Drosophila melanogaster: one gene and its partners. The protein of the gene in region 3 purifies or fractionates together with the protein of the main gene of each other region. This does not show direct contact. Each region holds a gene or a part of one and is shown on either strand. Other genes may lie near its edges.

Region 1 (7,248 bases), on a different chromosome or scaffold from region 3:
GTCCCCGTTCCGATGAGGAGTCCCGATTCACATTCGGTGGACGCTACCGACAGCCGGCATCATCTGGACGCCATGCGCCGCACCAGTCGCACTCACCCCACGCATTCGGACATCATACGCACCACTCCCATGCCCATGGACATGCCACGCACGGTCCACACTCGTCCCATCACTCATCGCACACCCATTTGCAGCAGGAGGACGAGGGCATCTACGAGACCGCTGACCACCACGAACGCCAGGTGGTCGACGCTCGACTCGACTGCCACGAGACACCAGATAGCGAGAGGTAGGTTTGAGTCACTATTACTGTCTCTTGGTTCCATTGCCAGGCCATAATCCACTATCCTGACCACGTAAACGATGCAGCCAGCTGAGCGATCACATATTTGATATGATATGATATGATAAGATATAATATATAATGTTCAGAGAACCCTTCAGTTCAGGAGCTCTTCCATTTGAACCAAGACGATCTGCTGCTGATGCATCGTTTATTACCAGCTCAGCAGTTTGTAGCATTTGATTTATGCCCACATATGATGATCCTCCACACCCACAGTTTCCCCAACCCAATTGGCCTGTAACTTCTAGTTTATGGATAGTTTCCCATTGATTGATTGTTTAGATGTGTAATTCAAATTGAATAGCTCGATTGAGAACTAGACGTAGCATGTGACCATACCATTTATCCATCTAGACCAATTCCAATTCCGATTCCGATTCCAATCCCAATCCGAATCCGCTTCCTCGATGGCCCCCGTTTGATTTCTTACCATGTGCCGTTGTTCCTGCTACGATTATTATTTTCTAGTGATGACTTTATTCAAGCTCAACAACAGTTAGCCCGGTGGGCGAGTGAGGATGTGGTATCCGTCGTGGTATTGGACCAGCCGCCATCCGGTACAATGTCGGATTCCCAACCATACATCGACGTCGGACCCATTTCGGGGGCTATAGCTCAGCAGCAGCATCCGCATCAGCAGCAGCAGCAGCAGCAGCAGCAGCAGCATCCGCATCAGCACCACGGCGATCATCATCAATCCTCCGCAGCGGCAGCGGGATCGGGATCGGGAGTGGCAGCGGCGACATCGGTGGCCAACAGTTCTATAATGGCTTTGCCAATCGTCCCAAATGGTATAAGTGTAAGTCAGAGGGACTACTATCCATCCCCGCCCTCAACGGAAACGGAAAGCAGTGGAAGTGTTATCCAGCCGCCCATTCGTCGCGGTTTGCAATCGGCGGCAGCAGCAGCAGCGGCGGCAGACACGGCGGCACTAAGTCAGCATCAGCAGCAATTGCAGCTCCTTCAGCTGCCAATTTATCAGCAGCATCCGCATCAGCATCATCATCCGCAGCAATCAGGCGATACCAGCAGCAGCAACAACAGTCAGTCCGAACAAATCATCGAGAATGGCTGCTACCCGGAATATAAGCATTGATATTGTTATCTATATGATAGAGAAGATCATCCTCATGGTCCATATGATCCATGCGATCCATGCGATCCATGCGGTCCATACTGCATCAGAAATCGCGCATAGATCAACAATCAGCCACGCCCACTCCACTCACATGTGCCCGGAGCCAGCGCGCAGCTAGCTTTCTCTCTAAATAAATGAAATTTGTATCGACCTTTATGATTACTTTAGCATAGTTACCAATACGTTGCTCGTGTATAAGCACATAAATAAATGAATTTAGCCCTAAGTAGTTAAGTAAATAAATGTAAATGTGAAGACAGCAGACAAAAACCAAAACAAAACAAACTAGTTAACGTAAAATGGAGCGGAGTAAAAGTTAGCACACAAATTGAAGCGAGATGGAAATGGGAAACTGGAAAATGGGAAAATGGAAAATGGAAAATGGGAAAATGGAAATGAATATGGAAAAACAAACTTAACAAGCAACAAAAATGTGTATTCTTATGTGTGAGTGGTAAATAAATAGCCATACTTTATTCATAGATTAATAACAATTATTAAGTGAGTGCATCCCAATTTATATTCATAATCGTATAATGATACGTATAATGATGAGAGACAACAAAAACCGAAAAATGAAAGCAAAAGCTAACCAAAACCAAAACCGAAAACAACAGCAACCGCATTAACGAAATAAATAATTAAAAATTGGGAAATATTTACATATTTTTTGCATACCTCGGACCAAGCAATGGAATGCCAATGTTCGAGTAGGAAAATCTTTCAAAAAAAATAAAATAAAATACAAAACAAACCAAAAAACAAAAAACAATGACCGTAAACAGAAAACCACAAAAAAGAATAAATAACAAAACCAAAAAGACAAAAATAAAAATAAACACAAAACGCAGCTGTAAATATGAAAATTAATATTTATGCTAGTTAGTAAATTATACGATCCTTTGCTGGACGTGTAGAGAACTTGAACATTTCGATGGTCACGGATAAGCGGCAGGAAAAATACAATTGTGCACTGGGCCCAGCCCGGGCTTTAAAAAACCCCCTTATTGGGGCAATCTTACACCGACTGATAGAAAATTTTGGGCTATATTGCCAGTTCTCGTTCAATAATCTTAAAAAATGGAAAAAACCAAAAAACCAAAAAACCAAAAAACGAAAAAAAAAACCAAATGGAATGAATAACAAAAACGCTATATACATAAAAAATAATTAAAGTAATTCAAGAAAACGTGAAAACATGAAAGCGGAGAAAAAATAAATCGGAAATATTAATATCTGTATGGTTAAAGTATGAATATGATCAACATAAAGTTAAGGACAATGCTAATGTTAATTTATCGGTTTTGAAACATCAGTAATATATCGTATTGTACCGTAAATTAAGCCATTTAGAATGAAACGTACGAATTAAAATTATTTTCCAGCTTTACAACATCCATTTGTCTTCATTAGGGTGACCAGGGCTTTCTTCTATGCTGAGTTTAAAAATATTTCGCAGCAATGATTCCCAGAATCGCACGTCGATTCCAACCATTGTTGGACCACTGCATCCGTTTCTCATCTCCTTCGCTACTTGTCAAATGTCTCTGAAAACCAGGATCACAAATATATAAGGTAATATACATAAGGTAAAAAGTAACTTTCAGAAATAGAGCACTAGCTGAGTAAAGGGTATCTGATAGACGGGGAACTCGACTATAGCATTCTCTCTTGTTAATATTGATTTATTAATCAACTATATCCTAATTTAAAAGAGGCATTAAAGAAATTTAAAAAAATATATATACATATGTATATAGTATCTTGTTTAAGTGCTGGATAATAAGTAGGCGATATTTTAACATTGTTCCTATGCAATACTATTTTTAATTAGTCAATGATTTGAACTTTGATCTTCTTCAATACTATTTTTGACATTTACACTCAATGTGCTCCAGAAACGACACCTTTAGGATTTGCTCCAAACATTTTTTTTTTTTTTTTTTGTTTTTGTATATATCATTTGGAAAGCCGAGTCCCAACAATAAAATCTTAATCTATGAGGTAAGCAGCAGTATCAGATTTTGAAGCACCTTTTGGCGATAGAATCTATACCGTCTTGACTTGACTGATCAAGGGCATGACAAAGGATGGGGCAAGGAGCTAGACGAACGAACGGTACGCAGGAGCTTTTTATACAATAAAGGCGAGGAATCCTGCGGGTGGGACGCCTCGCAGATTTGCTGTAGTCTTCGAAAGGGCGAAGGGTCCAGCACCTCGGAAAGTTGTGCCTCTCCAACTGGCCTTATCCACAGGAAGGAATTGTCGTCGAAAAGGTACATATAATCATTTTTGTCCTGCATGCACAAAAAATTGGCGATAAACATTGGGGGAAGACGTTGTTACGACGCGGTCTTGGAATCTAGGAAGCCCAGAATAAATGGCAGAATGCTGCCATATTCATACAAATAATTCTGATTTCATTTTTCTTCGTTTTCATTTTTACCTAGATTAGTTTATTCATATACAGAACGTTGTTGATATTCATTTAAAAAACAAACAGTTTCAGTTTGTAAACCCAGTTTCATTAAGGTGTACTAACTTGACTTCTTTGATGAGTCGATTGCTTGTGACGCTTGTGTTTTGGATGGTTCAGTAAGAAAATATCGTGTTTTCTATACATTTTTTAATACAACTGTCATTGTCTAGCGTAACGACGAAACAAAGGCAAATGATCCTTTTAGGCTGCTATACTATAGAATCAACACTTTGTGATTTTAATTATTTGGGAGTTTCTTGCTTGCTTTTATTATATTGTTTTTCGGAGACCATAACTCCGTTCATGTCCACAAATCGTGTGTGGGTTCCAGCTGCGATAAATCGCTTGGCAGCGGGCATATCCAGTCTTGGCGCCGCTAGAGCATCGTTTATTTTCTTATCGCGGGCAAGTAGGTCCCTTGTACGACGCAAATCGTGCATCACAGCATGCTGAAATGGAATCATTAAATGATAATTGTCGCCATGTGAATTGTGTATTGTGTATATATTGCACTCACATTTGAGGCATCTTCACCCTGCAGTTTCAGGTATATGAAAAACAGTGTGCTGTTCAAGTACACAAGGTAGCTATCCAATTTTATTTGTTCATTTGTGTTCAATGTGCGTTCTGCCTGTAGCGCCAGTGCCTTCTCCGTGTCGGCTTCCAGGAGTTCGATGCTGCTGTAAAAGGTTTTCAGGATGTGTTGCATGTTTTCGTCCTCTCGCAGGCTTGTGTCCAGGTAAGCGTTGCAGGGCAGTCCATTGTCGACAGCTTGATTTTCTTGAGCCATGTTCTTTAAATGGAATTAAAATCGCGTGCGAATGTTTATATCTGGCTTAGGCTTACAGTGTGACCGTTGATTGAACATGAAAAGAAATAGATTCTATGAGAAGTATTCAAAAAGCGCCGTTTCCACTTCAACATTCTGCGCCTGCACTGTGCTAATCTACATACATATGTACAAATATAAAAAAAAAATGATTGACAGTAACAGTACAAATTTCAAATAATAAATTTAGCAAAAAAAAAATTGTTGTTACTTTGAATGCATTTAAACTTTTATTGCCCAATCATCTCGTACACAGTACTTATGTATTTAATAATACTTTCACAACGTAATTTATTATTGGGATTCTTGCATTTATGGCCAATTGTTATAATGACCAAAAAAAATAAGCAAACAAACAAACCGAGTAATTGTAAGCAAGTATTGAAGATTTGCGTATTCTTGTAGGAAAAGTACATGGTTTTAAAATAGATCGGATGTATTTGACCAATAATAATTACTTTACATTATTATTTAGTTTAAGCTGTTAGCATTATGATTATGTCTTTTACGACCTTCGAGTTTATTATAAATTTTCATCTTATCTTTGCAATCACACGAATACCCAGTAAAAGTTTCCAGGTCGATTTTATTTATCTTATTAACAATACAGTAATTCCTTAAAGTACTGGGGCGACAAGAAACATAATTGAAATTTTTACGCAAGTTTTTAGTCATAATCCTTGTTGATAGCATACATCTACTGTAATTTCTTATGATTGCCAAAGTAAAATGAATAATGATTGAACGGCAAGAGTTTTTCAACCAAGGATAAAACTGTGGCATCTCCAAAGCGTAATTAAGTAAACCTATGTATAAATTGTATTTTGTTGACTATGTTATGACTAAAGATCCCACACGAGCCGATGCGTACCCCGAAATGAAAGAAAGCAGCTACTGCTTGGAAATCCCTCTCTATTAATACACGCCCTACTAGTACAGCACAACTTGGCAAATTGCGTGGTTAGATCATGTGCAGCTTCTGATCGTTGAGTTTGAATGCCGCCGCATCGCTATGGAGGTGAAAAGGCACAATATCACCTGTTGTGGCCATATCAAATGATGGTGACATAGACGTTGCCGTTGCAGTTGCCGGACTATTGCTGCCACTGGTATTTGCGATGCCCGCCTTGAGATGTAGGCTGTCCATGGACATTTGCTGAGACTGCGTGTGAGGAAGGGGATTGGTGTGGATATGCGGATGGGCTGGGGGATGAGTTATGCTCGCTGGGACGGTTGAGAGTTTTCCTGAGTTTGTTGTGATTATTATGTTTCCGGCATGGGAAGCACCACGTCCACGTTTCCGCTTCGGAAGAATTCCTTTTCGCGCCATATAGAAACGAATGGTTGAGACAGGAATATTGAACATATTGCTGACAGTTTGGAATGTCTCGCCCTTCGAAACACATTTGGCCGCTTGTGCTAGAGATGCTTCTGAACGTCGAACGCGCTTATATGAAGTATAACCATCGATCGAGCTATGGCTCAGTCCTCCGGAAGTATTGGCCGATGTATCGAGATCAGTGTCAAGGCTGAGGGATAGCCCGGATCCGCATGGCACTCCTGTCGCAAAACTGCTGTCATTGTTTTCATCATGAGCGGCCACATAGTTGTGGTCGTCCTCAACATTTGAATCCAAGTATTGCTGCTGCTGAAGCTGCATTTGCATCCTGTGAAAAGATATATATATTTATCCAGAGATACTTGTCATATTAATGCAAAAACAAACCTCGCCTGCTGCAGGGATAGGTGGACATTCATTTTGTTGTCAACGGCTTGCGCAGATATATTGCAATCATCGAATTGCTCCCCGTAGGCATTCCAATTGTTCGGCACCTCGTCGCCGGAGTCATCCTCGGTTGGTGCATTCGAGTGGCTGCCCAAAACGTTCGTAGAGGTGGCCTTAGATGGCTGTTGAGCATTACTGCCATTTATCTGGGGTCGCTGCTGCACCTGCTGCTGCTGCTGCTGTTGCTGCTGCTGCCGAGCATCGGGATTCTGGCGCTTCAATACTGTGGGTTGCTGATGGTTAACCGGTAGCGGTGGAGCGGAGGAGGTGGTCATTGTTGTTGAGGTGGTTGAATTAGTGGCTGCATCGTCCGTTTCCGCGCTGTCCACATGCTTGAAGCTTCGCGCTGTGGTTGCAGCTGGATCCTTAGCAGCCTCGAGACTCGCCTGCTGGAGTTTCTTGTAGTTTATCGGTGCCTCAGAGCCGTATAGACCGCGAATCTGCAGTTGTTCGGCACAGCGAAGCAACTGGCCAAGACCGGCTTGCGTGACATTGACCTCTCCCTTGTACATGAAGTCCACAAGCGCCTGGATCTCCCATAGCTTGATCTCCCTGGGCAATATGATGACCGGGTGCTTGCAAGGATGCTCCGCTAGTATTGCCTCAAAGTAGGTGGAACAAGCGGCCAACACCAGACGATGGCAGTGCACCTGTTGGCCTTCGCATGCGA
Region 2 (6,963 bases), about 14 Mb from region 3:
TCCACTCCCAGAGGTTCCTTCTCGAAGTCGATGTCCACGCGTCCTGCGATGGCATATGCGATCACCAACAGAGGACTGGCCAGATAGTTGGCCCTGGTGTTGGGATGGATGCGACCCTCGAAGTTTCGGTTTCCGGACAAAACTCCAGCACACACGAGGCCGTTCTTCTCGATGGTGTTCACCACATTCTCCTCGAGAGGACCGGAGTTACCAATGCAGGTCATGCATCCATAGCCCACAATATCGAAGCCCAACTTCTCCAGATAGGGAATGACTCCGGACTCTTTCAGGTAGTAGGTAACCACACCGGATCCAGGCGACAGCGAGGTCTTGATATAGGGCAGGATGCTCAGACCCTTCTCAACGGCCTTTTTGGCCAGCAGACCGGCACCCAGCATCACCGAAGGATTCGATGTGTTCGTGCAGGATGTGATGGCCGCAATGACAACAGATCCATGATGCAGTTTGTAGGTCTTGCCATCATCCCACTGGAACTCCCCAAAAGCGGATTGAGCTTCCGGAGCAATGGCGAATCCCTTGAAACCCACCTAAGGTAATGGTGGAGCAAAACAATGTTTAATTTAATTCCCTTTTTCTCAATGAATTTGAAACTTACTGGGCTGGACAGGCACGACTTAAAATCCTCAGGCATGTCGGAGACAGAAACGCGATCGTGAGGACGCTTGGGTCCCGAAACGGAGGTGACCACCGTCGACAGATCCAAGGTGATACTCTGTAGAAGGGATGTATGTTAGCTTAAGTTTTTAGTGGTATATGTAAGGCAATTTCAACCTGAGTAAACTTGGGATCTTGGGCCGCATCAGCATAGTTGCGCAGCTGCTGAGTTGCCTTCAGATACTGGCGAATGATGTCGATCTTCTTTTCAGACCGATCTAAAAAGTTTGTTATGATATAGGTAAAATATTGTTTTATGAAACAGTCTGGTTTTCCGTACTTGTCTGCTTCATGTAACCAAGAGTATTCTCATCGATGGGGAAGTATCCCACGGTGGCTCCGTATTCGGGACACATATTGCTGATGGTGGCCCTGTCAGCAATGCTGAGTTCCGCAACTCCCGGGCCGTAAAACTCCACAAACTTTCCCACCACACCCAACTGGCGCAGGTGCTTGGTAATGGTCAGCACCAGATCGGTGGATGTGACCAGTGGGCTCAGTTTGCCCTCCAACTTGTAGCCAATTACCTCGGGCAACAACATGGAAATCGATTGGCCCAACATCACAGCTTCCGCTTCGATGCCTCCCACTCCCCAACCAAGTACGCCCAATCCATTTATCATCGTGGTATGGGAATCAGTGCCCACCACACTGTCGGGATACAGAATCTTGGAGCCATCGGTTGCGTCATTCTCGAACACCACGCGGGCCAAGTACTCCAGATTCACCTGGTGGACAATACCGGAGCCAGGTGGCACGATCAGCATGTTGTTGAAGGCCTTGGCTCCCCACTAATTAGGAAAAACAATATTATTAAAAATACTATCTGGATAATAAGCTAAGGAAAAGTAACCTTCAGGAAGGTGAAGCGCTCCTTGTTGCGCTCAAATTCCAGTGACTGGTTCTTGGCCAAAGCATCAGGCGCACGGGCGAAGTCCACCTGGACCGAGTGATCGATGACCAAGTCGGCGGGGCAGATGGGATTGATTTTCTCCGGGTCGCCGCCCAGATCCAAAACAGCATCGCGCATAGCTGCAAAGTCCACCACAGCAGGAACTCCAGTAAAGTCCTAGTAGCAAGATATTATATAATTTAAATATTACTTTGCTAGATTGCCGTATGAAACTCACCTGCAGGATGACACGGGCCGGCTTGAAGGACACCTCCACATCGTTGGATCCCTGCTTGAGGGCGGGCGACCATCCCAGGATGCTCTGCACGTCCTTCTCTAGGATATGGAAGTTGTCGCAGTTGCGAACCGCCGACTCCAAGAGCACTCGGATCGAGTAGGGCAGTTGATCTACGCGTTGGAAATGTTAAGTGTTAATCAAAGTGTTTAGAATTTCATCACAGGTACAGTAAAGCCTCTTGGTGAGAGGACCTAAGACAATTTGCCGCACTAAACGTATGTATCTTTAAAAAACCTTTAAGTTGCACTTGTTGAATTAAAATTCACGAGTAGAGTAAAGAACCTCCCTTTTTCTATAACCGTCCACCTTAGTTAGTTTAAAGTGTGCTAGTCAGATAGCAGTCACTTCTTATCACAGGCACAATGATTACGTTTGTCCAGCACTTAATGCGATTCACAGGCGTCACTATATGGGAGGAGCCACCAAAGAAGCCCTCACCTCAGAACCCCGATTTCTGGACACGCGCGGTTCCAGTAAAAACATTCCACTGATCTTGAGATTTTTCGGAGTCATCGGACTACGACCCCAAATCAGCAGATCTGCGAAGTTTTAATTCGCTGATAAGTGAGCACGTAAAATTGGGAAATGGAAATCAAATTTCGGAGGCACACGATTCGTTATCACCGCTAGACGAGCCCCATTATGAGGCAATCTGGCGGTGATAACTTTCGCTTTCGGCGCAAGACAAGCCCGCCCATAGAAAACTATAGAAAATCCACTTAATGCTCCGGGAGCACCTTCTACTTGACATTGCCTGACTTGCAAATTGAGCTGTTCTTCTACGCTTCTTTTTCAATTCAGGGGTCAAACTCCAACTTCAACAGGTGCTTAATTAATCCCATTTTTGATATGCATGTTTAGCCTAGTTTATTGCGACCACGTAGACAGACACGCCCACTTTTAAAGCCTTCTTAAGACCACATCCACTTACCATATTTACTATCGATGGAGGCGAGGTCAAAGTACTTGTATGTTGTGCCGGCCTGGGAGAAAGTTTTCTCGAACTGGGCGAAGGGATTGGCGCCTGCGACGATACGAATGTGTTATATAAGCCACAGGATTCGGGGGACAGGGTATATGGTAGTCGAGGGAACTGCAAAGCTCCGGACTGGCAACCCACCTGACATCTTATTGGAACTCTTTACTGAACTTATTCCGGACGAGCAAAGCAAGAAACTGATTGGAGAAGCAGTTCGGATAGGAGCTGGCCAGCCTTCGCTGTCTATCGATAGCCAGCGATAGTTGCGTATATCGCCAGTCGGATCGACAGTGCATTTTATACATTATATATGGTGCATTATATTTTATAAAACGATAGCTTTATGTTCACTTCTCTTTTTCTAAAATGAGATTATAGTGTTCTGCGCTTGGTATGTTATTATCATATGTATTAAATGCAGTAATAACTATTCGGATATTTATGTAATACACCATCTTTTGAAAAGCCTGAAATTTGTGCAATTATCAGTAAACTAAATCGACGAAAATAATTGAAAGTTGTATAACATATGGTTCATTTTTAAAATGAAAACTCCACCCGCCAAACCTATCAGTAATCGACAGAGCTCGTGCAATCGCAACATCATATTGCACCGATATGTCGAGGGAAAATTGAAATCGTTATCGAAAATACGAGGCGATAGCACGCGCACGTTGTTTTCTTTGAATATTAGGAAAATATAATATGAATTTACCAGCGAAAATGGACGTGGAAAAGGATAAGCTTCGCCAGATGCACTGCGAATTCAATCCCTTGTCGCGTTGCGACGGATCCGTGATGTACAGCCAGGGTATAGCCGTGTTTTCAACTCTAGTACATGGCCAGAACCGGCTAACATGGTCTTGCCAATTTCAGGTGCTACAGGTCTCATAGGCGCAGTTCTCGGCCCCATCGAGGTGAAGACCCAAAACCTGAGCATAGATGGCAGCTACTTGGAGTGTAACTACCGACCAAAAGCGGGCCTGCCGCAGGTTACCGATCGGATTCGGGAGGCGGCCATTCGGGATGTGCTGGAACTGGCCCTCCTGTCGGAGGCTCATCCGCGCTCCAAGATGTCCGTGCAGATCCAGGAGCTGGAAGATCGTGGCAGTGTATGTTTTTGAATCTCCTTCATCTGTAATCCTTCTAACAATATATATATTCTATCAGATTGATGCCTGCGCCGTAAATTGCGCCTGCCTAGCCATGCTCATCGGAGGCCTGCCTTTAAAGTATAGCTTTGCGGCTGTCCACGCCATCATCAACGAGCAGGGCGAGTATGTGCTAGATCCGGACCAAAGTGAAACCCTCCACCAGCGCGCCAGTTTTACATTCGCCTTTGATTCTGTAGAAGGAAACCTTTTGTTGATCCAGACAAAGGGCTCTTTCAAAATAGCCCAGTTCAATGATATTGAGTGCCTATGCCTGGCTGCCAGTGCCGAGATCTTTCAGTTCTATCGCAACCAGGTTGCAAAGTATCATGGCAGGAGTGAGGCGACGGCTAAGAAGGAGGACGTCAATGAGACGTGATGTTAAAACAACTGAAACTACGATTAAAGCTCATTTTATTGTATTAACTGTCTGCTGTGAAAGTCGGTTATGTTGCTCAGCTCGAGGGGCGTGCCCTTCAGCACCTGTGAGTTGGATTCCTCAATGCGGACGGCCAAAAAGTCACCTACTCCAAACGATTTTCTGGCTGTGGAATCTCCAGATATGGGTACATATATAGAAGGAACTATGACCTTGATATTGGCATCATTCCGACCGAACCAGTGAGCATCGGACCTCTTGCTTTTCCCTTCTATAAGTATGAGCTGCTCCTGGCCTTCCATTTTACGATGTAGCTGTGTAGCTCCCTCTCGGAAAACCTGGACCATGCGCTGCAGTCGCTCATTCTTCACGTTTATGGGCACATCATCTTTGTAGCGCCGATGGGCAGTGGTCTTTTCTCGCATGCTGTAGGCGAACAAGTAGGCCACGTTGTACTGCACTTGTTGGATAAGAGATACAGTGTCTTGGAACTCCTCTTCCGTTTCACCGCAAAAGCCGCAGATAAAATCGCTGGACAGCCCCACGTTGGGCAAAAACTGTCTGATGTGCTGCACAAGTTCCAGATAAGCCTCTCTGCTGTAACCACGTCGCATCCTTTCCAGAACTTGGGTATTGCCCGATTGTGCTGGCAGGTGAAGTTGCTTGCACACATTCGGGTGATCTCTGATGACCTCCAGAACTTCGTCGGAGAAATCCTTCGGATGCGGCGAGGTGAAACGGATGCGCATGTCTGGAACAGCTTGAGCCACGGATCGGAGCAATGCTGCAAAGGGAGTCCCGCCTGTTTTGGGCTTGTAAACAGTGCTAAAACCGGGCACTGGAGTTGCTTTCAGTGAGTCCTGTTCCTCCTGCGCAGTTCTGTCTCTGTACGAGTTGACATTCTGACCCAGCAGGGTGACCTCCTTCACGCCCTGTTCCGCCAATGCCTTGACCTCAGCCACAATGGATGCCAGGGGGCGAGAGCGCTCGCGTCCACGGGTGAAGGGCACTATACAATAGGTACACATGTTGTCACAACCGCGCATGATGGACACAAAAGCAGTGGGCGATTCGGAGTTTAAGCGAACGGGCATCACATCCGCATAGGTTTCGTCCAGCGAGAGGAGCACATTGATGGCCGAGTTGCCATAATGCCGGGAGATAGCCAGTAGTCGCGGCAAATCCTTGTAGCTATCGGGTCCGGCGATTACATCCACACATTGCTCCTGTTCCAGCAGCTTCTCCTTTAGTCGCTCCGCCATGCAACCCAGCAGTGTCAGCTGTAGAGGATGCCTCCGCGTACTGCGTTTGTTCTTCATGGCTCGCAGGTGCTTCAATCGGTTCCTGATCCTCTGCTCCGCTCCATCGCGCACTGCGCACGTTACGAGCATTATGACATCGGCCTCCTCCGGCTCCTGGCATCTCAAATAACCATTCTCCTTCAGGATACTGAACACCACCTCCGTGTCATTCGTGTTCATCTGGCATCCGTAGACCTCAAAGTGGACCTTCCTTCCGTTTCCATTGAAATCAATCGAGTTCAGGTACGGCACACTGGTGTCCACATGCTCCTCTTCATCAGTTTTCAGTCTTGACGCAGGCTTGACCGCAAAAAAGTCTTGGAAGCCCGGTCCGCGTTGAATCCTCTCCAGAAAAGTTGCACGTGCTGCCGGCTCTGATTTTAGTTGACCCGCTGCGCTGGAGGTAACGGATGTCGTAGCTCCTTTCGAGGCAGTCGTGGAGGCATGCCGCACTTGGCGAACAAATGCCCGGTAGCTTATTTTCATGGCAGTTATTTATTTATGTAATTTTTATGTTTCTGTTCAAAGAAGTGGTATTTTATTAATGGTATTACAAGTGGTATTTTTCAGGGCTGGAAAGCGTTGTTTACCTGAAACAGCTGGGAGGATGATTTTTATTCGCCATCTAGTGGACAGTAGCAAGACCTTGTAGTTTAAAAACTAGCCGCTTGTTGTTTTTAAAAAACGTGACAGTTTTAAATTGTTCCGCTAAATTTTAATTGATGAATTTCGCTTTTTATTTATTAAAACTAATAAATATGGAGTTAATTGAGCGGGTAAAAATGAAAATATTCTACCTTTAATGGAATTTAAGTAGTTTTTGGGCTCAAACTGCATCTCATTCATTGAAAACTATCTCTTTTGCTATGGTAAACATTTTGCGATTCTCAGAAAACAAGGCATAATTACTTTTGGCTTAAAGACTCTTCATGCCAGTTAGGGAATGCACTTGGCTTCCTTCCGTAGTTAAACACTCAAGCGGGTTTGTCCAGCCGCACATTTGAGGACAGGTTGGCCAAAGTCGGCTCAGCCGTAAGAAATTAGCTCGGCCTCATTATGAGCTTATCGTGGTCGGGTTAATAATGCACAGGTGAAGACAATGCAATTGCATGGCCAACAAATGCCACGCCTTCGTCTGCTCCTGATTCCGATTCCATGTCTGTGCCTACAATTTGCGGCTTTTGTGGGTCAATAACTGAGTAATTGCATTGCCAACGAGTGTGGGCCATAAATATAGCCAAATTCGTCGGTCGAAGTGTTCACAAGATAATTTCATCGCTTTAAATTA
Region 3 (9,579 bases):
GCTTAAGAGCAATCCTGCCCAGCTCCGAGGTCTGCGCCTCGCTGCCGTCCGCTTTCAGGATCTTGACTGCAAGAGAGATGTCCCAGGACTTAAATCCTCACTCAGCCAAGCTAACTGGAGCATCACTCACCGTCGTAGCCCATGAGTGGCAAGCCAGTGGAGTAAGTGGGCGGACTGAGGTTCTGCTGGAAGCCCAGGCATGTGGCGGTGACCGCGGAACCAGTCTCCGTCTGCCACCAGTGGTTGAGCACGGGCACCTTGAAGGTCTTCTCGATCCAGGACTTGGTCTCGTAGTCGCAGTGCTCGCCGGCAATGAAGATGGCACGCAGCGACTTCATGGAGTACTGTCGCCCATAGCTGATGTCCGGATCAGCACGACGGATAACACGGAAGGAGGTAGGTACCGAGAAGATCGAGCGCACCTGGTATTGGTCGATGATCCTGAATATAGGTACAATTAATATGTGTAAGAAACAAGGTGGGGCATAACCACTCACCTAAAGTACTGACCCGGGTCAGGAGTACGGTCCGGTTTACCCTCGTACATAACACTGGTGGCTCCGAGGCAGAGTGGACCGTAGCAGATGTACGAGTGACCCACCACCCAGCCCATATCTGAGGCCGCCCACCAGGTGTGGCCAGGATTGATGCCATAGAGAGTTCTCAGCGTGTACACCAGAGCAACCAAGTGACCTCCGATGGTGCGAAGTACTCCCTTGGGCTTATCCGTCGTTCCAGAGGTATAGAGGATATACAAAGGATCGTTGGCCTCGATGGGAACACAGGCTATGGGCCGCTCGCCCTCCGCCATCTTAAGAATATCCGACCAGAGCACATCCGTCAGAGGATCCAGTTTGGTGGTATCTGGCGAAACATTATCACGCCGAAAGATTATGTTACGCTGCGGTGGTCGCCATCGCGACATGCTAATAGCTGAATGAAGGATGTCCAGGTAGGGCACCACTTTGCCCGGCTCCACGCCCACATTGGAGGCGATCACCAGTTTTGGTTCCACATGTTCGATGCGCGAGCAGAGTTCGCGGGCAGCGAAGCCACCGAAGACCACGGAGTGAATCGCACCCAGACGCACAATTGCCAGCATGGCAATGATGGTCTCCGGGATGAGGGGCATGTAGATCACGACGCGATCACCTTTGACCACGCCCAATTTGGCCAGGCCGCCTGCCAGCAGAACGATCTGGTCATACAGCTCCTGATAGGTAACCCGACGCAGTGTGCCAGTCAAGGGGCTGTCATGGATTAGGGCCACATTGGAGCCGCGGCCGGCCAGTATGTGGCGATCAATGGAATTGTAGCAGGCATTCAGGTAGCCACCCACATACCACTTGGTGAATGGCGGATTACTGTTGTCCAGTACCTTCTCCCATGGCCGATCCCAGTCGAGCAGGTTACCCTGCTCCTCCCAAAATGCAGCCGGATTCTGAACACTCTGGCGATAGGCCTTCAAGTAGAGAGGATCGTGAGCCTCCACCGGCATGCCGCATACAGATTCACCTGCGGAAAAGGTATAGCAGCAGGTGACCATTAGATGGGCGGGTTCATTGTTTCCTCTATTGGGTTAATCGCTGCTTTTAATTAGGCTATCAAACTAAATTACAAACCTTCCACTCCATACCACCTTACACACACCAGGCACATTGAATTTTAAATTTTCCAAATGTCGCGGTCACTCAACTGATTTCTATATACCCAACCTGGCACCCATGTACTGCACATATGCGTCGGGTGTGCGGCTCACCCAGACGCCGAGCATAATCCACACGTGATTGGCGATGGATATTGGACCTAAAAGCCTCCTTGTTGAATAAGCTAATCGAATTCATTAATATTTAGTGCCGACAGTTTGGGCGCACAACTAAACACTAATTAATCACTTCAAAGTCGCATCGAAAGTTCATTATTTTAATTGGCGAGCAGTGGTTTAAAACACAATATTTATCACCTTGAACTCTTGTGCATAAATTATCTATCTATCTACATCGCACTGCAAGAATCCAAGAATATTGTAAAAAGTTGGACTCCACTTAGATAGTTTTTGGAAAATTCGAAAATCTATAGAATTCATTTAGATCACAACGAAAGTTGGCATATTAGTTTTCCAAGCACTTTATTTGATGTTCTAAAAGTTGTTTATTTTAACTGATGTTTTCAATATGCGTATTAAAATATGTGTACCGATATAAATATATGTTCCGCAAAAATCACGCGATTACTCATTGATTAAATTTTTTAGCCTTTTCATATGAATTTCGAAACCTTTTTCGACTTACTGCCTTCGTAGTTCACTGCACTAGGACCGGGTTCCATTGTAACTTTGTATAACTTCCGTTCTTGTATATATTCAAGTCAAGTTAATGTATATATGTATTTATTATATATATTCTTTTTGAATTTTTTGGATCAAACGAGCTCAGCACAACCGTCGCACTGTAGTCGAAACTTTGCAATGGGTCTGGAGAATGTAGAACGCAAGTTGGAAACCAAAACCTTAAACAAAACACCCGATCAAAGGTATGCTTTCGAAACTCTCCGAGATCGGCAGAGCCGGAACGGTGGAAAAGGTTTACGAAACGGAGCGGAATTTAAAAACCTTACATTTTATTTATACGAAATGATTGTAGTTACACATCTTCAGCGTAGTCTAGTTCCACATAAGCAAAGATCCAAAGAATTACTTCTTTTTCTTATCCTTCTTTGTCTTTTTCGATGGAGGTGCCGCAGAAACCGCTTGGCTATCAGTTCCTTCGGTGGTCGTTTCCACGCTGAAGCCCTTGATGTACGGCTTGACCAGCCGGAAGATCAGCTTCTCGTGCTGCACATTGCTGGAATCCAGGCTAAGACGAACCGTGACTGGATCAAAGGAGTGGAACACCACGTCACCGCAACGCTGTGTATGATCCTCTTCGTTGAAGGTGAAGACAATCTCGCTCTTGACGCGCTCCACACCGTCCTTGCCATCCTTGTCCGACTTTAGATACAAAGTGCCTTCCAGGCCATACTTGGGGATTAGCACTTGCAGAGCATTCTTGCGCACAAATAGCACATATCTAGGGATGGGTAATAATTGAAAAGAATGTTGCCCACTAGTGGTTTCTTCGACTCACCCTTCCTCATCCTCCTCCTTGCCGCGGAAAAAGAGATGCGTGTTGAGGGCCACTGATGCGCGACCAGCGTACTGAGCCATTTTGTGGCGGTAGTTAAGATTATGACACAGCTCCTCATTTGACTTTCGGTCCAATAGCTGGGCATAGGTGCTATCCGCGCCGATTGAGGCGGCCAGCAGGCGATGTACCATAATGTCGGAGTAACGACGAATGGGCGACGTAAAGTGCGTGTAGATGGGAGCAGCCAGACCGTAGTGGAAGAACTCCTCCTTCTGCAGACTGCCGCTGATGAAGTACACTGCCTGCATCATACAGCGTGTGGTGAGGATGCGGATCATTGTGTTAAAGTACGGATTATCCGCCTTGACACACTTGTCCAGTGAATGCGACAGCTCCAGTCCCGAATTGATGTCCACCTGGAAGCCCTGGTAGCGCGCAGACTTTACCAGCGGATCGAAATTGGTAGGCGGTGGCCGAGGATGGCGACGCAGAACAGCGCACTCGGAGAACTCCGTTGCGATATGCTCGGCCACCGTGATGTTGGCCAGCAACATGAACTCCTCCACCATGGAATTCGTCTCGCGCATCTGCTTCACCTCCACCTCGAGTGGTTCGTGTGTCTCGCTGTCCACCTGGAAGCGGATCTCCGGGGAGGCAAGGACAAGGGCTCTGTAAATTATGGATGCCTTAGTTCACTTGATTACGAGGTGTTAATATAATCTTACCCATTATCCATTCGTCGCTTTTTCAGTATTTTGGCCAACCGATTAAGATTTCTCAGGGACTTGGCTATTTCATTCTGTTGCGTGGCATCGTCGATGATATTCTGCGCTTCCTCGTAGGTCATGGCACGCTTCGATTTGATGACGCTCTTGTGGAAGCGTTTGCTTAACACATTTGCTTCATTGTCCACTTCCCACACGCAGGAGAAGGCGAATCGCTCAACACCGCCAACCAATGAGCAGAGATTTGAGCTGAGTAACTCGGGTACCATGTCGATTCGTTTGCCCACCAAGTACACGGTGGTTCCCCTGGCCGCTGCCTCCATGTCCAGTGCGTTTCCTGGACGAATAAAGTGACTTACGTCGGCTATGTGAACGCCCACTTCCAGATTGCCGTTCGGTAGTTCCTTGCAGTGCAAAGCATCATCGATATCCGTGCAGCCCGGGGGATCCACAGAGCAAATGTACAGATCCCTCAGATCCACACGCTTGGAATAGTCCTCGTCAGTAATTGTCCAGGGCATTTTCGGCAAGAAGCTAAGCACTTCGTCCGAGAACTTGCAGTGCGGGACGTCGTGCTCCAGCAGGATAACCTCGTTCTCGGTGGCCATGTCTCCGAGCGGTCCCAGGGAGCGCACAAAATGTCCATGTGGGTAGCGCGAGTTGCGCGGCCATGTGTCAATCGTTACGATGATGCGCTGGTTCTGCAGCATTGCTGCCTGTCGCGTTTCGATACGGATGCGCGGAATCTTACGGTCGGCGGGCACAAAGATGTGCCGATTTGTATCCTCTATTAAGCTAGGCTGCAGGATGCCGCAATACTGTCGCCATTTCCGTCGCACAATACCGACAATTCGCCCTGTGGGCGTGCGCTCTGCGGATAAGGCAGCGGCACGCACCTGATTCAACATCTCATTTTCATCCTTGGCCCTTTCCTCGCTGGGCACTTCATCGGCATAGACATTCTTCTCCTCCAGTACAATTTCACTGGGTGCTGACCACTCCGCCTCGGGCAAAAGCTCCACGGCCACCAGGTCGCCATCCACGGCCCGATTAAGAGACTCGCGTCCTTGGATAAGGATCTATTAAACAGAAATCGTATTGTGAAGCGTATGCCAGGGAAGATATTTAGCGTTTTAACTTACCCCCTTTTCGAATTTCTCTACATTGACGGTGCCCTCCAAGTAGTTTTCCCTGGATGCCTGAAAAGTGCCCTGTAGTAGCTTATTTTGGCGCAGTCCTTCCAGCAGCTCCTTCATGCTGAGATGCGGCGGGTACTGGGGCAGACCATTCTTCTCGCTGTCGAATGTTTTGTGCGACAGCTTATCCATCAGAAGTGGAAAATCCTCGAGAGATTTCACGTACTCCGCTGCTGTGGTCACCAGAATACCTTCTGCTTCGGCCTTAGCACGATTGGCAGCATCATCTGTGAGCAGAACAACTCGCGTAGCAGCTTTGCCACTGCGCTCGAACTCTTTAGAGGATTGCGAGGCCTGCAGGTGATCATCGTACCACTTGGTGGCCAGACGAATGGCCCGATCATTGCGATCATTGGCGGTCTCATCTGGTTCGCGATCAGCATAGGTTTCCCTAGAAGAAGCACTATATTATAAAGGTTTCCCAAGAAAATCCATTAACCCACTTGTGGTGCTCGTTGACGAACACATAGAAGTTCCTGGTGCGGTCGTGGACGATCTCATTGAATCGCTTGTAAATGGCGGAGCTCCTGTGCTTCACCTCGTTGAGCACGGTGGTCAGAACGACTACGTTGCGCAAAACATCCTCCTCCAGCACGTCGATCTGGTCCAGAACCACATTTGTGTCCAAAACGAGATAGTGCGGGAATTTGAAGAGGGTGCTCTTATTCGCGTGCTGCGAGGTGAGCTGGTATACCTCGTTTTGGAAACACTCCCGGCACAGCTCGGAGCCGCAGCCGATGTCGTCGCGCAGATAGTGCTCCCGTACAATCTTCAGAATGTTGCCGCGCTTGGTTTTACGCGTAAATTCGCGTAAAGTTTGCATTTTGTTGAACCGCGTTCGAATTGTTACACCTTCACATGTGTGCCGGAATAGGGAGGCCCGTGCATGATTCGACTGCGGTATTATCTGCCTAAGGCCTGTTCACACTGCAGCCGCAATGGTCACAGTGGTTTGAGTCTACGGACTGCCCCGTATCTTAAGGTATAATTTAGTACCATTTATTGAACTGATTTTCTATATCGGCGCTTAGCACGTGTAGAACGCACGTTGCTCAAATTTTGTTATTTAAAACGCTAAATTACACAGCTCCCGGATGGTGCCGAACGAGAAAAGCTTTCCCCGAGGCGGGACAATCCACAGCGAAGTCAAAACCGACGACGTGAGCCTGAATATCGTGAGTTTAGCCAGCGAAATATCCGAGATCTTTGTACATACTTTTCTGTCCCACAGGTTTTCGGTGCCTCGCAGAAGAAGGTGAAGAAGGCGCCGAAAGTAAAAGAGAACCTTCTGAGCTACGAAACCGAGGAACAAAATGGCCAACTGGAGGCCTTCTCCGCGGAAACGCTCAATATGGACACGCTGCAGGAGGACATGCTGGTCATGGGAGTGGTCAAGGAGTTGACAGCCACCGCACTGCAGATCGCTTTGCCCGGTCGGATGTTCGCCCGCACCTTGGTGGCGGATATATCCGACGCCTACACCCGTGTGGCCAAGGCGGCCATGTCCGGAGACACCAGCGAGTACCACGACCTTACCGAGCTCTTCCAGTTGGGCCGCATCGTCTACGGCAAGGCCATCAAAACAGAAAAGCTGGACACCGGTCGGGTTAGCCTGCTCCTTTCCCTCAAGCCGGCCGATGTGCACGGTAATCTGCATCACAAGAGCATTAAGAAGGGTTTCATCTTCTCTGGCGCCGTGGCGGAGGCTCTGGAGCACGGCTATGTCATCGAGTCGGGAGTACAAGGACTTCAGGCATTCGTGCCATGCGAGAAGCCAGCTCAGAAGCTACACGTGGGGCAGTTGGCTTTCCTAAAAGTCAAAACCGTTCATCACGACACCCACCAGAGCACCTGCACCTGTGTCCAGGTGGAGCAGGACCAGCTGCGCATCAAGAGTCAAAACGAGACGAATCTCGACTACATTCTGCCAGGCAGCATTGTAAAGTTTAAGGTGGCCAAGCATCTGAAGGATGGCCTCAAAGGCAGCATCATGAATGAATCCTTTAGTGCCTACGTCAACGAACATCATCTAGCTAACGCTTTGGATACTTTGGATGCCTACGAGCTGAATGAGGATTACAATGCCAGGGTACTCTACGTGATGCCCCTAACCAAACTAGTGTACTTAACTCTTAATCTGGATATCAAAACTGGAGCTGCAGTAGCAAAAGATCAGGATGAGGAAGAGCAGGAGGTAGAGCCCATAAAGGTGGGTTCCGTGGTGGAAAAAGCCAAGGTTCTGCGCTTGGGCAGCGGTGGCGTGGTACTGCTTCTTAATAAGAAACTAAAGGGCATTATCTCATACGGTTCAATCAGAGGCAATTTCAAGGGAAATTATGACAAGGACGAAGTATTGTCCAAATACGGAAGAAAAACGAAGCATAAGGTTCGCATCCTAGGATACGATGTCATCGAATCCTTGTACTACTGCTCCGATGATCCCAACGTGGTCAACGAAAAGCTGTTCTGCCTGGAGGATATTAATGCCGGCGATCTGGTCACAGCGAAAATATTCAAGAAGGATGACAAGATCAAGGGCTGGTCGGTGAGGATCGGCAAGGTCAACGGAATACTGGAACAGTTCTATCTGGCACCCAATGTCCGCTACGATGTGGGTCAGTCGTTGAAGTGCCGCGTCCTAGAAGTTAATGCCGAGCGAAAAATCTGCTACGTGAGCAATCGTGCCGAGTATTTGGGCAAGGGAATTAAAATTCTGACTGATTATGCGTCCGCTCACGTTGGAAACGTCTATATGGGCACAGTAGTCCGATGTGAGGACACTTACGTCCTAGTGAAGTTCGGCAACGGCATCAAAGGAGTTTTGCACAGGCAGAATCTAAAGGAAAATAGCTCATTTTTCGAGGGACAAACAACTAAGTTCCGCATCCTAACACGCAACAAGGACCAAATCACTTTGACTTTGCCGGAGGACAAGTTCCAGCTTGGTGAGATCTGTCCCGTTGAGATAACCAATGCCTTAGACGCTGGACTGGAAGTTAAAATCACCTTCGCCGCCGAAGATGACGAAGAGGATGAAGATGGGAATCCAAAGCTGGAGGAGTTTGTGGGCCTAATTCCACTGCGATTGTTGTCGGATCACCTGGAGCTGCTGCACGCCCAAATGCGGGTCCATCCCGCTGGCTCTTACACCGATGCGGCCTGCATTATGCAGAACATCTTCAGCTTACGAGATGTCCCCTACTTCAGTGGCCAGCTCACCAAGGATTGGCAATCGGTTCAAGTGGGAGACATAATACGCTCTTATGTGAAACACGCCACCGACCAGGTGGTGGACCTCATGGTGTGTGTTCGCAACTACAATAAGCCGGTAAAGGTTCACGTCAAGATGCTTCGTCTGAATGCCGTGAAAAATGCGCCCGTCGAGCTAGTTCCTGAGCAACTGCTATGGGTAAAGGTACTCAGCAAGGAGGTGGAAACTAAGACTCTAACAGTTTCAGCAAAGCTTACGGATGTCTGGAGCGGGGATCTTAGTGACACTGCAAAACTGGTCGAAGGGTAGGTCTAAAATAAAATCTTATTGAGTTCATTAATTAGTTATTCTTTGAATTTCTTTACAGCTATTTAAATGAAGTTGCGCAAATAAAGGCAGGCCTTGAGGAAGCCTCCGCCCCTATTTCAAAATACTCCGTTGGGGAGAAAATCAACGTGGTGTTCAAGGGCATTGATGCGACCACCAATGACTGGGTCTACACAGTGGAAGGCAATGGCAAGGTGTCCGCCCTGCTGCTCTCCAGTTTGGTTGGAACTGCCAAAGCTCCTGAGATGGGTAGCAAGCACGAGGCAGTTATTCTATGGATTGAATACTCCAGCGATGTGCTACTCATCAGCAACAAGAAGCTGGACATTGCGCATATTTCACCAAGCGGCGAACTATCCACGAATCTGATCGGAAAGGCTGGCATGAAGGCCAAGGTGCTGTTAAAACTGGAGTCCGTAGCAGTGTGCTCGCTTAAGAAGGGCACAAACCCGTTGGTCATCTGTCCAATTCGGTTGCACCCCAACGATATCGAAAATTCTGGAAGTGCCGAGTTGCGCCAAGGAGATTTCTGCAATATAGCCTTCATCCATGACAAACTCCATATCGCAGTGCCAGAGACTGTTTGGCGCCTCTGGAGGGGAGTGAAGAGAACGGCGGGCACAGAGGTCGCCCCTGTAAAAGCTAAGAAGGCAAAAGTAGAGGAGTCACCTAAACAAAAGAAGACTACAATTGAGGAGACCTCTGCACAGAAGAAAGTCAAAGCGAAAGCTAAAGTGGAAACTAAAACGGAAGCGAAAGCCATACCTACCAAGCGAAAGGCAGAAGTGGTAGAAAAAATTACCAATGGCCAAAAGAAGACTCAACCCCTGACCAATGGAATTGTGAAAGAGAAACCTAAGCAGAATGGCAAGCTCTTCTTTGAAGATAAAACTCCAGCCAAAAATGCCAAGTCTGAGACACCCAAAAGCAATGGAGCAGAAGGCAAGTCGCGTTTGCCCGGTGTGTCTAGTTTCTGGGAGGATGATGTGAACCAG
Region 4 (6,831 bases), on a different chromosome or scaffold from region 3:
GATTACATTGAAGATATTCAAAGCTCTCGGCAACTGAACGAATATCTTGCACATAGTGTTTTTTATTCTTTTGTTTATAAATAATGATTAGATCAAGGTTTAGCATTAATTAATAATGTCTAAGAACGAAGCATAGAGACAGCAAATGGGTTTGGTAGTTTAATTCTGATGTATTTGTGCGCCAGACACAAGTTCCGAACGTAAAAGGTTGACGAACACGTGCACCGCCGCCTTTCCATGGATCTACTGCGTCCAGCTCCCTCTCCAAGATCCAGATCTCATTCGATGGGGCTGGTGTGGTTGGAATTTCGAAGTGCCCTGCGCTTACTGCGGCTTCCTGAACGACTTGCCGGCGAACTTGACGCCAGCGCCGATCTCCTCCTCGATGCGCAGGATCTGGTTGTACTTGGCCAGACGCTCCGAGCGGCATGGAGCTCCGGTCTTGATCTGGCCGGTGGACAGACCGACGACCAGGTCACCGATGAACGAGTCCTCGGTCTCACCGGAACGGTGGGAGACCATGGTGCCCCAGCCGTTCTTCTTGGCCAGCAGATGGGCGGCAATGGACTCGGTGACGGTGCCGATCTGGTTGACCTTCAGGAGCAGGCAGTTGCAGGCCTTCTTCTCCACGGCGGTGGCAATACGCTTGGGGTTGGTCACGGTCAGATCATCGCCCACGATCTGGATGTCGGTGCAGCCGGTCAGGTTGGACCAGGCCTCCCAGTGGTCCTGGTCAAAGGGATCCTCAATCGAGACGATGGGGAAGTCCTTAATAAACTCCTGGTACAGGTTGGCCAGCTTGTCGGCGGGCAGCCACTGCGACTTGTCGCTCTTCTCGTTCTTGAAGTCCAGATCGTACTGGCCATCCTTGTAGAACTCGGAGGCGGCCACGTCCATGCCGATCTCGATCTTGCCGGTGTATCCGGCCTTGGCGATGGCATCGCTGATCAGGTTCAGAGCCTCCTTGTTGGACTGGATGTTGGGGGCGAAGCCGCCCTCATCGCCCACAGCGGTGGCGTCCAGACCGAACTTGGCCTTGATCACATTCTTCAGGTGGTGGTACACCTCGGAGCCCATCTTCATGGCCTCTGTGAAGCTGGTGGCGCCGGTGGGCAGGATCATGAACTCCTGCATGGCCAGCTTGTTGCCGGCGTGGCTGCCGCCGTTGATCACGTTGAAAGCGGGCACCGGCAGGATGATCTCCTTGTTGCCAGCCAGATCGGCAATGTGTTTGTACAGCGGCACGCCCTTCTTGGCGGCTCCAGCCTTGGCCACGGCCAGGGAAACGCCCAGGATGGCGTTGGCTCCGAACTTGCTCTTGTTCTCGGTGCCGTCCAACTTGATCATGAAGTTGTCAATGGACGCCTGGTCAACCACATCCAGATTGGCCTTGATCAGCTCGGGTCCCAGGGTGTCGTTCACATGGCCCACGGCCTTCAGCACCGACTTGCCATGGTAGTTGGCCTTGTCGTTGTCGCGCAGCTCCAGGGCCTCGTGGACGCCAGTGGAGGCGCCGGAGGGCACGGCGGCTCGGAAGAGTCCCAGCTCGGTGGTCAGGTCGACCTCCACGGTGGGGTTGCCACGGGAGTCGTAGATTTGACGGGCCTTGATCGCTTTGATGGTCATCTCGTTGCTGTCACTGAAATCAAAAAACAAAAAACAAAGTCCACGAGGGCGAATTAGTGTCTGTTATCAGGACTTTAAATCTAGGCATGGTGTTCTATTAAATAGCTGACCGCAGATGAAGCCATTCAGATTTTATGGCGGATGTGCTCCACAATATTTGCGAAATCCCCGCCATTACTTAAATAGTTGGGCTTATTTATATTTAAAATTGTTCCAAATGGACAGTTAAATGATATGTTTCGTGATGCAGTGAAATATTCGGAAATATGTCGAAAAAGAAATACGAACTAGAAAGGAAATGGGAGATACACCTTTGACATACTTTTGGACTTGGTTCTCAAAATATGGTTAGATATTAATAAAAAATTATTTTTTTTTGCAAAGAATTGTAGCTGTGAGCATGTAAGTCACTTGCAATTTGAGCTGTGAGTGGTGTAAACTTATACATATATCCCCATTCGGGTGTGACTTTCTCCACGGTATAATCTCGAAATGCCCCTCCTGAGTTTTCTATATTTAATTTGTCTTCAAATTTCAGTTAAATATTTCTATAATAATTTAGAGTCACTGACACTGGCGGCATTTCCCGCTTTTCCGCTTATCTCAGTGGGAGAGTTTTCAGTTTGCTCTCGCCGAACAACCGAATGACCTCTAAGCTACTTTTAAAGGTCAGACCCAAAGTGAGGCGTCCAGCGAAGCCGCAGTACGTGGAAAAGTTGCGAAAAACGGAAGTATCTCCCTACAGCGATACAACAAATGCCTGTCAATTGAAATTATTAGATTTGTGCAATTAAATCGATTGGAAATATACGTAAACGAGACACTTGAAAATTTGCACAGCACCATTTGTTAGATAATCGCGCGGATATCGCTCGCAAAAAACGCTCGATTTTCAAGCCCTTTCGATTGGGGTGATCTTTGTGAAGTTCGCAGATAAAACAATTAAATATTTTCCCTAAGCTGGATGCACAAGCACACACCAAGAGTCTAGCAATATACATACCAAGTACTTTTGCGGATCTGCACAAATTTAAATCCAGATGAGAGCTGGCTGACTGCTGATTTGCTTCTGAAACGCGGCGCAACGTTTGCCGATTTATTCTGGGGAATTCTGGGGAGAGGCCAGCGCAGACGCAGAAACTTCATGCTAGTGGTGGAAGTCCTCAAGAAAACTGAAGCGGTCCAAGACATGGCTTGAATGTGTAAAAGACGGCGGCGAAAGTGCTACCAATTTGTATCTTGATAAAGGAGTAAAAAATATCATTTAAAATATATATTTTAGTTACCTTACATGAAACTATAGCTCTGTTGCAAGCTATATGATAAATTTAATATTCATAAATTTTAAAAGCTCAGCTTAGGCGATGTATTTTTGCCCATCTCTAAGTGTGGAAAAGAGAGGGACACTTACATTTACTCTCCTTTTATATGTATGCGTTTCCAGGTGCTCGCCGGTTTTCAGTGTGGGGGTGCGCTTTCCCTTTTTTGTTGTTTTCCCTGGTACGTTTCCTATATTTTTTGGGGAAAATTGACCTTCGCACAAGGTTAGAGTAATCGGGATCCACACGTAGCTGTGGATTGCATGTCTATCTACATAATAATAAATGCTCTCGTTAATAAAGCATAAACAATCAAATGGCGTCAAGAGAAGTGTAACAACCAATGATAATGAAATGTTCCCGTGGTTTCTGGACAATCGGGTCATTCAAAGTCACATACTTGTGGTTAGTCACGCTTTTTAGCTGCCATAAATTAGAACAAATAAATGCAAAGCGGATTTTAACAAATCGTACGATTATGCTTATAGCAGCACAGCTGATCGGGAAAAAATTGCATATGTGTTGGTTAACATTGCCGCCCACACGCTGTTAGCTCTTTAAAACTTTCTTTGCATTTTTAAGATCATTCAGTAATATAGAACAATTACAATTTGACTAAATATAATTTTTCTGTTACTTTTTTAAGTTCATCTTAATAATTAAAATCGTAAGCATTTTGAAAATAATAAAATAAGAAGGGGCAAAAATAATTTGAATATTTATGTTCTTTACAACTACTGTTAAATTTAACTTTAAGACCAGGGCTGACAATGGCAGTGTTGGAAAGTCCTCGACTTGACCATATGTTTTGAAAGACACACGCGGATTTTTTGTTTGGAGTTTTCAAATCGTAAAAGCAACATTAAAATGAGCGCGACCAGCACAATAGTTATGCCCGGTGAGCGAATTGCGGCCATTGAGGAGCTGGCCAAGAGCAAGCGGGTGATACTCGGACCGGGACTGCGGCGTCTGGATGACACGGTGGTGGCTAGCAAGGCGGGCCCACTTCGACACAAGGAACCCGGCACCTTCTGGGTGGACAACTACCAGAGAAGGTACATCCCGGCACGCGGGGATCTCATTCTGGGCATTGTGCGAGCCAAGGCGGGCGATCTGTACCGCGTGGACATCGGAGCAACGGACACAGCCTCCATATCGTATCTCGCCTTTGAGGCGGCCAGCAAGAAGAATCGCCCGGATCTGATCCCCGGTGATCTGATTTACGCGAGAGTCCTGAATGCAAGCGCGGACATTGAACCGGAGCTGGTCTGCGTCAACTCGGTGGGCAAAAGTGGCAAACTGGGCGTCCTCACCGATGGATTCTTCTTCAAGTGCAGCCTGAATCTGGGAAGGATGCTGCTGCGGGAAAACTGCCCTGTTCTCGCCGCTCTTACCCGGGAACTGCCCTACGAGATCGCTGTGGGAGTCAACGGCAGGATATGGTTGAAGGCCCATTCCCTGAAAGAAACCGTGGCCCTCGCCAATGCCATTTCAGCGCTGGAGCAATCGGGATGTGCGGAAATCGACAAAATATGTGGCAATCTCGGAGACTTCCTGCAGGCCTAGGATTAGTTCTTAGTTTACTTACTTTTATATAAAAAGAAATGGTTAGCCAAACTGATGGGGTTGAATTTTGATGTGAATGTTGGCGCAAAGGCAGTGTGTTGGAAGCCCTGATTCGTTTACGTAAAAAAACTATCAGAGATGAGCAGATGGAAGCGTTTTTCGTATCTTGGATTATGCTCTACATGTTCTCTCAAGAAAGATAGTACTACCCTTACCTAGCTACCAAAAGGTATTTAAATAATATAGCATCATTCAAAAACCAAGTATAAGGGTTTTATGTCAGATAAGGTGACTACTTTCCGCAGTCACTGCGTCACCTCTGGTGCCCACCAACAGCTGATCGATCAGACCCGCTCGCAGTGATTTCTGTGTGGCCAAGAACAGGTTTCAGTGCCTTCCGTTGCGGCAGAGGACAAAGGTTTCTCCGACCCAGCCGTGCCATACAGAGCCAACGAGATGAGCTTCCTGGAGTTTCTGCTGCTCCTGCTCGTGCTGTACTATGTCGTGTACGTGCTCCTCTGGATCCTGCTCGACTGCAATGTGGCCCTGTGGTACAAGTCCCGTTTCGGAGTCTCGCTGTCGTCGATGCGCGGACAGGTGGTTTGGATAACTGGTGCCTCGAGCGGAATTGGCCGCGCTTTGGCGCTCAGCTTGGCCAGGCATGGAGTGAAATTGGTGCTAAGTGCCCGGCGACTGGAGCAATTGGAGCAAGTGCAAGAGGAATGCCTAGCTGCAGCTCGCGGACTGCTGGCCACCAAGGACGTGCTGGTCATTCAAATGGACATGCTCGATCTCGACGAGCATAAGACGCATCTCAACACGGTGCTCAATCACTTTCATCGACTGGATGTCCTTGTCAATAATGCTGGCCGATCCCAGCGAGCCAGTTGGACCGAAGTCGAGATCGAGGTGGACCGGGAGCTGTTCGAACTGGATGTCTTTGCGGTGGTCCACCTCAGCCGCCTGGTGGTGCGCTATTTCGTGGAGCAGAACGGCGGTAGAGGACACATCGCTGCCACCTCCAGCATCGCCGGCTTCAGTCCAGTGCCATTTTCACCCACCTACTGTGCCGCCAAGCACGCCCTTAACGCCTACTTGCTCTCCCTGAAAGTGGAGATGCGCAAGCTGGATGTGTCGCTCTTCGCACCGGGACCCATAGCCACCGATTTCCTGCAGGAGGCCTTCACTGGCTCGCAGGGCGGAAAGGTGGGTCTGAGTACGGCCAATCAGAAACGGATGACGGCCCAGAGATGTGGCGATCTGTTCGCCGTTGCCTTGGCCAATAAGATGGATCTCACCTGGTGCGGCCTCTTTCCCGTCAACCTCTTGGCCTACTGCGCCCGGAATCCCACGCTGAGCAAGATTCTGGCTCAATTGATGACCGAGAAGACGCTGAACAAGATTCGCGAGGGCAAACTGTGAGAACAACCCCGGTGTGCCTCGCCCCTTCCCTATTCCTGCTCCAAACGGCTCTCAGTCATCTTTTATACTGTTGTATAATTCTTAACTATATACTAAAATATATAAATATGTGCACAAGATTAAGTTGAGTGTGCGTTTCAATCGCGATAATCTTCACAGGCACAGTGGGATTCTACAGTTCCTCCCATTCAATTGGTGAGCAATATTGTGGTAAGCTAATAATCAATTAAGATTTATGAATTCTAAAATATTCTAGTTAACTTAAGTCATTAACCAGTAATTTAGTAATCTATCATCTGGTTCAGATGCATAGATTTTTTTGCCATTATAGAAGAGGGCATATTACACTCAGGTGGCTAGTTAAAGCAGCTCCTCCCACATTATAATGATTTGTCAAGACTGCAGATTACCTTGCATTATCTTATATTTATCTACTTGATCAACCATTCTAATCTAATCTTTTCCTAGCGCTGCCTTGACGTGCGCTGGGATCTTGACTCGTTTTCGTTTCGCCTTGGTTATTGCGGTCTGCTCAACTCCTTTGAGCTGTTGCTTCGCCTTGTCCTTTTTGCTCTTCTTGCAGGACAATGGATTGGGGTTCTTGGGCCCTTTGTGCTTCTTGGGTTTGACTGCAGTTTCAGCTGGCTTCAGTCCCTGCTTCTCCTTCATGTAGTCGATTTTCTCGACCTGTTTGCCCAGCATTAGGTTTTTGGCCCGTCGTTGCACCCACTTCTTGGAGGCTTTAGATGGTGCTTCCAAGACGGGAGTGGCTTTGTGCAGATAGAGCAGACAACGTCCGGGAATCTTGCGAAGACTCTCCTGCAGCAGACGATCTTGCGAGGCAACCACATAGCGATTGTCTTTGGTCTGAAAGGCAAGTAATCATTTTATGGCTATA

The links.
Region 1: the proteins of Dis3 (region 3) and Rrp47 purify together in Drosophila melanogaster (affinity purification with western blotting, with the first as the bait; 2 studies listed by BioGRID). This does not show direct contact.
Region 2: the proteins of Dis3 (region 3) and Rrp46 purify together in Drosophila melanogaster (affinity purification with western blotting, with the first as the bait; 2 studies listed by BioGRID). This does not show direct contact.
Region 4: the proteins of Dis3 (region 3) and Rrp40 purify together in Drosophila melanogaster (affinity purification with western blotting, with the first as the bait; 2 studies listed by BioGRID). This does not show direct contact.

The regions. Positions count from the first base shown.
Region 1 is NC_004354.4:15,942,561-15,949,808, reverse strand, and holds Rrp47 (ribosomal RNA processing 47), read right to left. Parts: upstream 4,913-7,248; 5' UTR 4,754-4,912; coding exon 4,481-4,753; intron 4,413-4,480; coding exon 4,206-4,412; 3' UTR 3,560-4,205; downstream 1-3,559. Other genes in the region: mmd (mind-meld), read left to right, coding at 1-289, 815-1,442; CG8924 (uncharacterized protein), read right to left, coding at 5,754-6,459, 6,519-7,248.
Region 2 is NT_033777.3:10,409,824-10,416,786, forward strand, and holds Rrp46 (Rrp46), read left to right. Parts: upstream 1-3,477; 5' UTR 3,478-3,549; coding exon 3,550-3,655; intron 3,656-3,720; coding exon 3,721-3,956; intron 3,957-4,014; coding exon 4,015-4,374; 3' UTR 4,375-4,409; downstream 4,410-6,963. Other genes in the region: Irp-1B (iron regulatory protein 1B), read right to left, coding at 1-548, 617-733, 793-893, 956-1,466, 1,529-1,744, 1,806-1,975, 2,797-2,889, 2,986-2,992; CG6345 (uncharacterized protein), read right to left, coding at 4,410-6,161.
Region 3 is NT_033777.3:24,329,783-24,339,361, reverse strand, and holds Dis3 (Dis3), read right to left. Parts: upstream 5,930-9,579; 5' UTR 5,870-5,929; coding exon 5,490-5,869; intron 5,438-5,489; coding exon 4,993-5,437; intron 4,930-4,992; coding exon 3,851-4,929; intron 3,795-3,850; coding exon 3,126-3,794; intron 3,069-3,125; coding exon 2,693-3,068; 3' UTR 2,329-2,692; coding exon of another isoform or gene 2,292-2,328; 3' UTR 2,114-2,291; downstream 1-2,113. Other genes in the region: CG6432 (uncharacterized protein), read right to left, coding at 1-66, 131-441, 498-1,515, 2,292-2,328; Rrp5 (ribosomal RNA processing 5), read left to right, coding at 6,141-6,221, 6,278-8,562, 8,625-9,579.
Region 4 is NT_033779.5:1,725,017-1,731,847, forward strand, and holds Rrp40 (ribosomal RNA processing 40), read left to right. Parts: upstream 1-3,715; 5' UTR 3,716-3,812; coding exon 3,813-4,511; 3' UTR 4,512-4,746; downstream 4,747-6,831. Other genes in the region: Eno (enolase), read right to left, coding at 325-1,639, 2,630-2,817; CG31937 (uncharacterized protein), read left to right, coding at 4,968-5,933; CG17652 (uncharacterized protein), read right to left, coding at 6,387-6,800. UniProt on the Drosophila melanogaster protein: Non-catalytic component of the RNA exosome complex which has 3'->5' exoribonuclease activity and participates in a multitude of cellular RNA processing and degradation events.